3 linked regions of the Danio rerio genome follow. Each later gene encodes a partner of the first gene's protein in a complex. Links are inferred from orthologs where the notes say so. Each region holds a gene or a part of one and is shown in the gene's direction. Other genes may lie near its edges.

The links.
Region 2: the proteins of nf2b (region 1) and lats1 are in contact, whole or in part, in a crystal structure (PDB 7LWH), measured with the Homo sapiens proteins. The link is inferred for Danio rerio from reciprocal best matches to the Homo sapiens genes NF2 and LATS1. Residues at the interface, in NP_000259.1 of Homo sapiens: Pro135, Glu136, Ala137, Val139, Leu140, Tyr144, Asn175, Leu176, Tyr177, Gln178, Met179, Met183, Trp184, Arg187, Trp191, Glu206, Ile210, Asp213, Leu214, Glu215; in NP_004681.1 of Homo sapiens: Pro69, Lys70, Phe71, Gly72, His74, Ala77, Leu78, Glu80, Ile81, Arg82, Ser84, Leu85, Phe88, Ala89, Asn90.
Region 3: the proteins of nf2b (region 1) and lats2 are in contact, whole or in part, in a crystal structure (PDB 4ZRI), measured with the Homo sapiens proteins. The link is inferred for Danio rerio from reciprocal best matches to the Homo sapiens genes NF2 and LATS2. Residues at the interface, in NP_000259.1 of Homo sapiens: Pro135, Glu136, Ala137, Val139, Leu140, Tyr144, Asn175, Leu176, Tyr177, Gln178, Met179, Trp184, Arg187, Trp191, Glu206, Lys209, Ile210; in NP_055387.2 of Homo sapiens: Tyr73, Ala76, Leu77, Glu79, Ile80, Arg81, Ser83, Leu84, Leu85, Phe87, Ala88, Asn89.

The regions. Positions count from the first base shown.
Region 1 is NC_133196.1:27,247,527-27,251,914, forward strand, and holds the start of nf2b (NF2, moesin-ezrin-radixin like (MERLIN) tumor suppressor b), read left to right. Parts: upstream 1-1,518; 5' UTR 1,519-1,750; exon of another isoform or gene 1,751-2,130; intron 2,131-2,363; 5' UTR 2,364-2,380; coding exon 2,381-2,470; intron 2,471-2,561; coding exon 2,562-2,687; intron 2,688-4,388. UniProt on the Homo sapiens protein: Probable regulator of the Hippo/SWH (Sav/Wts/Hpo) signaling pathway, a signaling pathway that plays a pivotal role in tumor suppression by restricting proliferation and promoting apoptosis.
Region 2 is NC_133195.1:1,290,042-1,293,659, reverse strand, and holds part of lats1 (serine/threonine-protein kinase LATS1), read left to right. Parts: intron 1-1,734; coding exon 1,735-1,917; intron 1,918-2,129; coding exon 2,130-2,236; intron 2,237-3,618. UniProt on the Homo sapiens protein: Negative regulator of YAP1 in the Hippo signaling pathway that plays a pivotal role in organ size control and tumor suppression by restricting proliferation and promoting apoptosis.
Region 3 is NC_133184.1:22,891,832-22,896,207, forward strand, and holds the start of lats2 (serine/threonine-protein kinase LATS2), read left to right. Parts: upstream 1-1,473; 5' UTR 1,474-1,641; intron 1,642-4,376. UniProt on the Homo sapiens protein: Negative regulator of YAP1 in the Hippo signaling pathway that plays a pivotal role in organ size control and tumor suppression by restricting proliferation and promoting apoptosis.

The DNA.
Region 1 (4,388 bases):
GAAAAAGTTTTAGGACAAGCAGGAACTGTTTATGGACTAATGGTATTGTCATATTGAAATGGTCTATCTATAGGACAATATCTTACAGATAATTTTAGAAGCATTTTACAGACATTTTATTATAATATGTAGTTATGTGCAGATACTATACAGCAATGGTCTCTGCACAGTTTTGCTCCAACCCTAATCAAACACCGCTGATCCTACTAACCAAGGTGTTCAAGACTACTAGAAACTAAGCAGGTGTGAGTTGGAGGTGGTTGGGACTATGCAGAGCTGCGGCCCTCCAGGAATTGAGTTTGAGACCATTGCTATGCAGTACATGACATTTCATCGAGTGGAATAAATTGGCACTGCACTCAACCAAAATATTTTAAAAGAGTATTTAAAAAAAAAGTAGTTTTATTTAGCATTAGAGTAAATTATATATTCATACATACAGTTGAAGTCAGAATTATTAGCCCTCCTTTGATTTTTTATATTTTCCAAATGAAGTTAACAGAGCAAGGAAATTTTCACAGTATGTTTGATATTTTTTCTTCTGGAGAAAGTCTTATTTGCTTTATTTTGGCTATGTGTGTGTGTGTGTGTGTGTGTGTGTGTGTAAATAAATCATGATTTACTCTAAAACTAAATAAAACTTTTTATAACTAAGCAATAATTTACCAAGTGTCTTATCTGAAAATATAATAAATAAATAAATAAATAAATATTTTGGAAGTTGCTGTTTAAAAGTTGGAAATTTATTATTAAAAAAAGCATAAACTCCCTTATTGGTACAAAATATAAAACAAAATACAGATTTACAGATTTTTTTTTACAGATAATACAAAATACAGTACAGTCATTTCACTAAAATAAAAACTTTTTACAATTTTACACTCATTTTACAAACCACTCTAATAATATCAAAGGGCTAAAATAGTAACTGTTATAGATCATTTCAATGTGGTCATATCATTGGCCCGTGAACAGTTCCTGCTTGTTATCAAATTATATCAGAAATGTAAAGAGGCAATTCAATCATAACTTAATATTAAAACAGCTATCATAACATTATTTATTCATATGTGGCTCTTTTTGGATTCTCCGAAGCTATAGAAATTAAAAATGCAAAACAGGAAATGCAAAGGGCACATTGTTTTTGTTTACATCCTTCAAAATGGTCTGTACATACAATACTTGCAACAGAATGATATTACATAATAGACCAATAAAATAAACTAAATCACAACAACTTCAGAGGGCTAAATTAGCAGTAATTGTGTTGTGTAGTTGACTGTACAATACTTGATATAAAACAGCATGATATTACAAAACAAACCAATATAATAAATTAAACAAAATAAAACATTTAACACTTACATAATAAATGACGTTAATTGATCTTATTGAGCATAGAAAGAGTGACATAAATCACTGTATACACACCGTCATGAACATTCCTCAACTGCTCTTCTCCATCCAGCAGGAAGAGGGCGGCAAAGAAAACCAACAACAAAGTCCTGCTAACTCCCTATCCAACATTTTCTACTCAAGATAACATCGTATTTATATTCCACAATCGTCCAGTTAATAGTTTATTACCAAAATGGACACTCTTTAAACGATTTCTACAGTTTCGGACAAGCTTACAACCATTTCCATGTAGGTGACCGACGAAATCCGGTTTGCATTGTTGTGGTTTAGCGGAGTGCCTGGAAACTCCTTGCTGTGGATCGGGCCTGGTTTAACACATAACCTAATCAAGGTAACTGACTGATATTTGGCTAGTTTCATTCACATATTTTTAACAGTGTTCAGAATGGATTATACTTATCGTTTAAACGTATACTGTGTCGCTGTAAAGGGAGTAAATTTGCCAGCTTACTTTCTGTCACGTTAGCCAGGATGTAACGTTAACGTTAAGCTTTGTGAGTCGCTTTCTACATTCTCGCTCGATATAACAAGGCAGATTGTGTTATATCTTACTTATAAAGGTTGAAAACTAACAATGTGTTTATTTTAAGGAGAGTGGGCATTGTTACAGTTGTTAAGTTACAGCACTTTGCGTAAAGTACTCGTGAATGCGACTTACCTGTGGCTGACTTCATTCATCTGCCTTGTGATAGTAGCACTAGTACGTTAGATAAATGATGATAATAATGATGCATAATAAGGGAAGGAATAAGTTGAAGTAATTTTCTAATTAAAGCTCTGATAGACTTTTTAAAATGTCTAAATTATCTTTTTATGTATGTATTGATGCACTTTGTTTTAGTTTTTAGATATATATTTAAGTAAATGAATGTTAGCTTCATTTTGTTAAATGCTAAATATACTTTACTATATTGAGGTATTAAAGTAATTATTTGTGTTTTCAGGTGTATATAAAGTCACTATGTCAATTTTGGGTCTGAAAAAGAAGCAACCAAAGACTTTTAAAGTCAAAGTCAGCACTATGGATGCTGAAATGGAGTTTAGTTGTGAGGTAAACGTATGGAAATACTTAATACATGTGTCTGTCTGATTCTGTGTCCTAAAATGTCCTACAAAGTTTAATGTTTGTCTATAACTTCTAGGTCAAATGGAAAGGGAAAGATTTATTTGACCTGGTATGCCGGACCATTGGCCTGAGGGAAACGTGGTTTTTTGGTCTTCGATACACAGTAAAAGACACATATGCCTGGCTGAAGCCTGATAAACGGGTGAGATGTAATTGTAGTTTAGAGCCTAAAATCTGTTCCCAAATCACTACTCACTGAACCCAATCTACAGAAATGAAAGAAGGAAATCTTGACCCAAGACAAAGTCAATCAAATTAGACCTGAGTCTGACCCAATGGCATTTATTTTTAACCCAAAAGTAAACTGCATTGAAGTAGGGCTGCACAATATATTGTTTCAGCGTTTATATCTCTATGTGTGTGTCTGCAATAGTCACATCGCAGGATCTGCAATGTTGAGTTGTTATTATAGTTGATCAGCACAACAGTTGAGAATAAATGAGATTTGTGGAGTCTTTGCAAAGTATAAGCATAACAGAGTGAAAGTTTATAATTTGAATGTGTTTCTTAAGGCAATGTCATAAGAGTTTAAAACGTTTTGGCACAAAAAGTTAATTTGTGACTTTAAAGAATAATACTTTAACTGAATTATTTATACAATAAAGACTATACAATGTTATTTTGATTTTATTATTCAATTTCTGTAACTGAATAGTTTTGACTCCAGAAAACCAGTTATTCCTGGGCCCAGCTTTTAACTGTGACCAGTGGCTTCTACACACACACACACACACACACACACACACGCACGCACACACACACACACAAACACATTGTTTTAACACACTGCATAATAAAGCAAATGGCGTTTCCTGGTTTTTATCTTTTTTCAATGAGGATATATTTCTTTGTTTGAGGTTTCAAATGCTTCTTCCATTTTTTTATAAGTTTCTTAAAAATTTAATACCAGTAGTCTAATTGGTCAAGTACATGCTGATTGCTGAAATTCTTAAAGCTCATTTACTTATCACTCAGTTATGATGATCACATCCTATAAGTTTTCATGTCTTTTTGGTAGTACCAGCGAGAATGTTCAGACATTGTTTGCTATTTCTACGCAGCATTTTGTAATGAAAAATTAGCAGATTTATGTGAAATAATTTTGGTAGTATCGTAACTAAAAACTTAATATTAAAACTTAAAAATAAAACTTTAAATATTACCATTTTAACTTTTATTTAACGTTTACAGTGCAAATGTAATTAGATCCACTTATTTGGTAAGCAAAGCAACTCTGATAACTGATCTACTAAAAGACAATTATTACTTTACAAATTAAATAGTTAAAAATCATATAAAAATTTTCATATTAGTCAATAATATTACTGAAATTAATTTAAAAACTGAATGAATATAAATTTACACACATTTACAGAAGTAAATAAATAGGCTTGATGGATTTTTGCACGCGCAGTTTCCGCATGGGCCTTCTTATTGGGTGCATTTTCAAAAGCACACTAAATGTTAAATTAACCGAGACCTGAGGCTACTAACTTACTAACCTAACCTGTGTCCAAGGCACAAAACCCATCTGGGTTCTTCGTTCAGACCATGGGTTTTTAGATTTATGTGACCCATGAAGACATTAAGCATGAACAAGTACCCAAAATACAAATATGTTGTTAAAGTTCTCCCCATTTTAGGTTATCCACAATGTAGCTGACTTTTTAAGTGCAGTGTAACATTGAATACAATTTAATTTCTGCTCAAACTGCTTCTTGGTGTTAATTATAACACAAATAATTAGTTACAAAATAGATTAGATTAGATTCAGCTTTATTGTCATAACAAATTTACAAGTACAAGGTAACAAAATTCAGTTTTGGCCTAACCAAGAGTGCCA
Region 2 (3,618 bases), on another chromosome or scaffold:
AGAGCACTGGTCGCTCACTTACCAAATCTGTAGAGACAGGACAATCACCAGCAACTAGAGCCGCGCCTTTATTAAGAGGAGACGAGCAGCGAATCTGGATCTCAGCGTTTGCAGATGAGAACAGCTCTCAGGTAAACAATAATCCTCCTTAGACACGTAAGTTATTGTTGTCGAGCGTCGCATACACTGTTAATCCACACGTGACTCCAGCTGCGCTCTCACAGAGAGAAAATGAAAACAAAACTTCACTGCAGCAAACTATAAAAGCAACACTTCACGCTTGTTTTGCCAACACAACGTGGCGTCTCTGTCGTCTAAACACTGTGACAGTAATGAATATTAATGAAGTTGCACAATAGAGCGCGCTGATTGGTTTGAACCAAGCTTTACTCATGCATTAATGCAGCACACTGTAAGACGTAATAAGACTCACTCTGGCACAGACGTCCAGTCTGCACGCTGGAATACACGCTATTATGTCATGACCGTGACGCAGCTTCAAAAATTCGTTTCAAACCGGAAATACGAATTTGCTTGAAATAACGCAAAACAACCAATTTACACTTTTTAGTGAAATATAGGTGTCCTAATAGTGTTTTTAGCAGTGTGGGACACATATACCACTGTCAACAGCTCAACACATGTGTTTTGGTGTTTCGTGACCCTTAAACATTTTTAAAATTTCAGTACCGTTTGGTACCGAACTTGATACTTTTGACAACACTACTACAAACATGCTAATTCATGCTAGAAACTTGGTAGCAATGTTAATTCACTACAAATATCTTGATTTCTCTCGCGCTTTTACAATGTAGATTGTGTCAAAGCAGCTGAACACAGATGTTCTCGTAAACTGAAGCTGTGTCAGTCCAGTTATCAGAGTTCAGTTCAGTGTGGTTTAATGTTCACTGCTGAAAGCCTAAACACTGAAGAGCAAATCCATCCATGCGCAGCTCCACAAGTCCCAAACCAAGCAAGCCAGTGGCGACAACATACCATGGAATTTTGCGACTGACCAATCAGAACCCAGTATTTCAGACAGCCGTATAATTGTAAAGGAATGATCTATATTTCTGTTTTTGTTCATGTCTGTCGACAGAGATCAGCTACAGGTGTGTGCTGCATCTCTATTAATAATGCTTCCCTATGATATTCATTTAATCATTTAAAACTAAATAAAAAAATGTTTCCCAGTTATGGGTTGCAGCTAGAAGGGCATCCACTGCGTAAAACAAATGCTGGATAAGTTGGCGGTTCATTCCGCTGTGGCGACCCCCAGTTTAATAAAGGGACTAAGCTGAAAATGAATGAATGAAAAAATGTTTAAAAAGAAAGTAAACAAACTTCTCAGACTGTCATCTGTGTGCTTTCTGTTATTGCTGCTTATGCGGTCATATAGCCCAGAACACGTGCACACTCACTTGCATTTTTAATTTTAGGAGGAGTTAAATTTACATATGTGGTGTCAACAAGCAAAATACACCAGAATAAATTGTACATTTAGTTATTAATGATTATACCTCATATGATCATTTAAAATCATTCATGTCAATATTTAAGGTAAACATATTTACTTAGTGTTTATTTACAGCTGTGCACATTCTCCTGTCATTTTATTTTTATAGATCACAACCTTTGCGTGTTGTATGCACATTTCCACCCCGGTTTGTAAATAAGAGCTCGGGTGTAAAAAACAGGTCTGGATGTTGACTTGCGGTGTGTGTGTGTCGTCAGGTGATCATGTGCGTCAGGACAGCATGGACTTCAGTATGGAGTGGGAAGATTCCGCAAACTGCCGCTGCGGGGATCGCCTGAAGCCCCTGGAGCGCAGAGCGGCTAGACAACACCAGCGCTGCCTGGCACACTCTCTAGTGGGAACGCCCAATTACATCGCACCCGAGGTTCTGCTGCGCACCGGTATGAGCCGCACATTACAGCCGAACACTCAGTTATTCGCCCTCCTGTGAAATTTAGACCCTTTTTCAAATATTTCCCAAGAGATGTCTAGCAGAGCAAGGACATTTTTCACACTATCTCCTGTTATGATTTAGGGTAGAGAAAGAATTAGAAAAAGTTGTATTACTTTAGAACATGGTTTGTTTTGCTTGATAAATTGTTTTGAATCCTAGGCTACACGCAGCTGTGTGATTGGTGGAGTGTTGGCGTTATCCTCTATGAGATGGTCGTCGGTCAGCCTCCGTTTCTGGCCACAACTCCTCTGGAGACGCAGATGAAGGTGAGTTCTCCTGATGAGTTCAACTCCAATCTTAATTAAACACAGATAAACAAACAAAATCAACGAATGCGCAAGTAAATCCCAATGAAGCCCCCGTATAGATTTGTACTCTGATTTGAACACATCATGGCATTTCGAAATGGAGGTTTTTATTATTAAGGGAAAACTACTTAGCCCGGAGTGAAAAGTGTTTGAATGGTTTTGGAGTGGTCTGGTCAAAGTCCTGACCTGAATCAAATTGAGATGCGTGACCTTAGAAAGGTGGTTCCTCCTTAGCACTGTGACAGACTCATAGCAGGTGATCAAAACGCTTGATTGAGGGTTACAAAGTTTCACTCAGGGCTCTGTAGAATAGTATTTTGGTTTTCCCTTAATAGTAAAAATCTTTATTTTAAACTGCATGACGTGTTCAAATCTGGCAGTCAGTTATAGGCATGGGCCGGTGTAAGAATCTGATGGTATGATAACCTTGGATAAAAACATCACGATGTCACAGTATTGTGATTTCTGCTCTAATATATACTCTTTTTAAATGTCTGAGTAAAAACAGGGTTTTTGCAGGTTTCATCACATCAAATTTAAGACTTTTAAAGACCTTTTTAAGACCATTATCAATGAAATTTCAGACTATCACTGGGCAAAACACTAATACTTTTCTGTTATAATCAGTGGAATTTTTTTACTTGCCCAATTAAAATTAAAATTCAGTTATTTATTTAAATAATTTGTCAAACTCTCTATATATTTTTATTAGTACAACAATTCTTTTAAAAAAGACAAGTTTTAAAAGCTAGAATAAACAAAATTTATGCACAAAATAAATTTATTTTTTTTAAATGTAATTTTGTTTTCTAATGTTCAATAAATTTTCAGAATTCTCTAAATCAAGATTAATATTTATTTAGAGGGTAACTACACCTTTAACTTCTAGATTATTTTAATCTAGAATAATCTATATATAAAAACAGTATTTTTTGGTGTCATTTATTTATCTGAGACTCACATTGAGATACTAATCTACAAGTCTTCTGAAAATCAAAGCAAAACAAAATACTTTTCACAAATGCAATGTAGCATGAACAAAAAATATTATAGCAGTGAGAAATATCAAAAATATTAAATTAAAGACAATCAAAATGCCTCAGTTTTAAAGCTATAATAAACAACATTTATAAATGTGTGCATTAAAGCATGAAAACACGGAGAACTTGTAAACAAATCGTAAGGATGTAATGAAGACAATTAAACCATATTGCTAAATAGTTAATTTTAACTTTGTTAAACATTTTTTAGATGGATTTGTTGGTTGTACTAATAAGCTTTACATGGACAATTAGTGAAAATTATGACCTGTTTAAAAGTATTTAAGACCCACAACAGCA
Region 3 (4,376 bases), on another chromosome or scaffold:
TTTTTCTCTCATTCGCCGTGCGGTATCAAACATTGCATGAAAAATACACGCTTAGAGCAGATCCTCGAATCAAATATCACGTTTGTCGCGAGGGGCATGAATGAATTCCCTGAATGAAAGAGCCAAACTGCAGTTAAAGTCCAACATTTAATAATTTGTCAAATAATTCGACTACAGATGTCTATGTAGGTTAAACACCATCACTTTCTCATGTGTGTGTATTTTGACTGAAACTCGCGCGTGCCCAAATAGACACTCCCACACCATCCCACTTTAGTTCCTCCGACACTCCCCCATCCCACTTTAGTTCCTCCGACACTCCCCCCTAAACAGAGCTGGACACGCCCACTTTTCTGACTTTTTCCAAAGTAGAGGTGTGAAAACACCCTGCTGAAACGAGGGGGTTTCATGGCCCTTTAAACTGTATTGACAGGAGCAGAAATTAATGAATTTAGATTCAAACTGAAGCATCAGAAAAATATGCAATAGGCTACCTTAAAAAGTGTGACTTCTACACAGTTTTGCAACCTTAGAAGGCTCCATAGACTATTAAAATACAATGGTCTATTGTTGCCGAAACTTGAGCATTTTAGTGACTTTTCCACATGCAACATTATATATTGTAGACAGACTGTTAATGACAATACTAACAAACTACAGTGGCACTGCCAGTATTATGAAGACATAGTATCACGATACTACCATAGTACCGATAAACCTTACAACCCTACTTTTCATTTGTGTATTAGTAGAGTGTCTAATATGTGCCGATACAGTTCCTTTAACAGACATTTCACTGACTATAAGAAATTTTCAAGTATGTCAACCTACCCTAACCCCAACCTATCAGTCTACATAATCTGTTGAGAATTAGTTGGCATGTATATGCAATGTAACTTCAATTCAACAAACTGCATTAAAGAGACCATCGAAATAAAGTGATACCGGTTCAAAATACATTTTACAAGGTAAATAAGAACAGATGAAAGTGTTATTTTATTCATTTACAACATGAAATGGCATGTGTCAACTACAAATCTCCTGTTTTACAATCTAAGGTCTTTGGTCTCTTAATTATATGTAATATTTCATTTCTTTGAGGACTTGAAACAAACCAGTGATTGATTGAAGAAAGCAATGCAGCAATCAGTTGAGTGAGAAGCCCAAGAAGGATCTGGGAACTATTTAGTTCACTAATTAGTTATTTCATTCACTATTTAGTTATAACATTAATTATTTGGCTATAACGGTAATACCTATGCGAGCAACTTAAAATAGACCAGCAAAGTAGGGGAATAGTGAAATATTCTCCTGCCATTGCACATATCTGCTTGTGTGCATCAGATCAGAATCTCAGCGTTGTAAATGTCGGAAGCCCCGCCCAGGGTATGTGCAGCGCTGACGTGCATGGCCGCCTCACGTGACTCCTCTGGAATGTTAACAATGCAGTAAGTGTCCAACTTTGTACTGCATTCTAATTCCGCCGTGAGTGGCGAGAAAATGGAGGACAATCCCATGATTTTTACTCCGTGCTTTTTATGAGAGGACGAAGAAAGGCCAACAAATCTTTAGACAGATAGTCCGCAACTTTACTGAAGTTTAAATCAGTTCCTTGGATTAAGGCACCGCTTATTTCACATGGTGAGTCGCTCAAAACTTTATAAACTTTTCAAAAAGCTGGGCATTAGTTGGTTTCAGGGGATTCTGCATTTGATTTGCGCTCGTAAATGCCGTGTAAGTTGAGTAAATAGGCCGTGTTTCTCATTTAAAGTGGGATAGGAGTGAACAGCACATTCTCCCTGCGCTGGAATGCGGATTTGCTCCAGCGGATCTGCGTTCCTCTCGCTCCAGTCCCTCTGAAGCGCTGGGACCGTCCTCTAGGCCCCGCGACTGTAAACCGTATTAACGGTACTTTGTGCTTATAGAAGCATTTTGAATACCCCATGTTTGCTCCTTTAAAGAGGATAATAAGCGATTATGTATGTTAAAAACACCTTTGTGTGGCGTAATATGTGGCTTTGTTATATGTTAAACAAAATGTCAAGGTAACAAATGTGTAACTAGCGTTTATAATACAACGTATGTCTACATTCATTTAGAGGTTTGTTTTTGGTGATGAAGTAGACGCTGCCACGAGCTGCAGGTAAGTTAACGTAAAGTTGTATTTTTACTCGTGCGTAACAAAACCAGCTCTGCTTCCCACAGGGTTTTGTTTATGTGTCTCGCGCCGTCAGATGTTTTCCCCAAATCAGATGTTTTTTAGCCGTACTGTAAGTTTAGATGATGATGTACTACAGCGGGGCGATCGCATTACACGTTTATTGTTTTGAAACTGTGTAATTCACTCCACCCACGAAATGATCCCCCTATTTTCATGTTGGACATGTGTGATGATGATGATGATGATGACATGTGTTGGGAACTGTTTTCATATTTAATCCTGTTGTTTTTGTGTGTTGTCTGAATTTTTGGGCTTGTGATGATTACAGAGTAGTGATTATAAGTTAATGTAGAGGGGAGCCAGAATATTCATGTCATTATGATACTGTGCTCTTGAAATGTGGATTCCTACTTTCTACTTTGCTGGGAAGATATTGTGACAAATATCAGCAATATGAAAAATATTCAAAAAAATGTTTTTTATTTAACTCTTTATTTGCCAGTGCCATTGCCAGCATAACTTGCATTATTTTCAGTGCCAGCATATAATAAATGAAAGACTATTGCAATAAATGATATGTGGAGGATTGTTTGGCTTGCTCTTTCTATAAGTAATAATTAAACACAATTTACAATTTAACATTTTAATTATTTGAAAGTTAATGCAGCTCTAAATAAAAATCAGTACATCGTCACTTTGGAATTTTAAGGTTCTATCTGCTTCTGAATGATTTTGAGATATTGAGCTTCAAAGTTTTTGCATTCAATAGCAAACAGTATGTGTGTAACATTTGTTTTTTAAATAAAATGTCTTAAAATGTAAACAACTTATAAAAAACATCCCATAATGTAAATAAGTTGTCATTTAATAAGAATATGTCAATAACTCAATTTTGACAAAAAATGCCAGAGTGAACCTTCTAACACTAAGAAGACGATATGTTGAGCATAAAAGGTCTTTAAAGTTTGTTTTGAATATCGATAAATTTCAGTGGAATTCATAGAAGTAGAAAATTAGCAGTGCATGTTTTTTAAAATACTTTTCCATACTACATTTATCTTCAGTTCTGAGTTTATATTTTATGTTACAAATGACTTTTTTTAATTTCTTTGTGCAAGATATACATTTGCAGTTATTATCACTAATAACAATAGTTTATATTACTTTTATTCTATGGTGGAATGCATGCCATGCATACACTCACTGCCATTTGTTAATAAATAATGTACAGAAAATGATCCGTTAGGCAGTTTGTATGGAAATGAATATGAACTTATTTAATTTTTGTTTTCTTAAGGATGAATTTCTCGAGATTGTCTCTGATCTTCTATAAGTGTTTGAATGAATGCTCTGCACCTTGGGTTGTACTTGCAAATTGAATTGATAAATGTAAAAAACTGTGTAAAAATCTTTGATTATATCAAGCATAAAGTGAAGACATGACTAAACATTTCATGATGCCTCCGGTTTTACATTCAAGGTATTTTCTATTGAAGCTTACATTTGAATGTAATATTGAAGAGCTTCAATGGCTCAGTGGTTAGCACTGTCGCCTCACAGCAAAAGAGTCACTGGTTTAGGTCCCGGCTGGGTCAGTTGACATTTGTGTGTGGAGTTTGCATGTTCTCCCAGTGTTTGCGTGGGTTTCTTGTGTTTCTTGTTTCAAATACATGCACTATAGGTGAATTGAATAAACTAAATTGGCCGTACTGTATGATTGTGAATAAGTGTATATGGGTGTTTCCCATTACTGGGTTGCAGCTGGAAGGGCATCTGCTGTGTAAAACATATGCAGGAAAAGTAGGCTTTTCATTCCGATGTGGCGATCCCTGATGAATTAAGGGATTAAGCGAAGGAAAATTAATATAAATGAATATCAAAGAGCTTAAAGTCAAAGTTATAAAACCTTGATCTGTGTTTTAGCTTTTCCCATAAAAAGAATGTTTTCAGCAAGAAAACGGCTTTTCACAGATACTGTTTAAAGATAAAATCTTATTTTATGTTTATGAAATAAAGTAAACCTTCAGTAATATGACATATATACATATATTAAATGATTTATTCCTGATTATCAAGTGTTTTTTTTGTTGTTGTCTCGTCATCTTTAAGAAATCATTTAAGAAAAATTCTAGTATGCTATTTTAGTGTTTAAGAAACATTTCCTATTTTATTATTTAATTTATGTTAGGAGTGTTTTTAGAGAAAACGCTTTTTT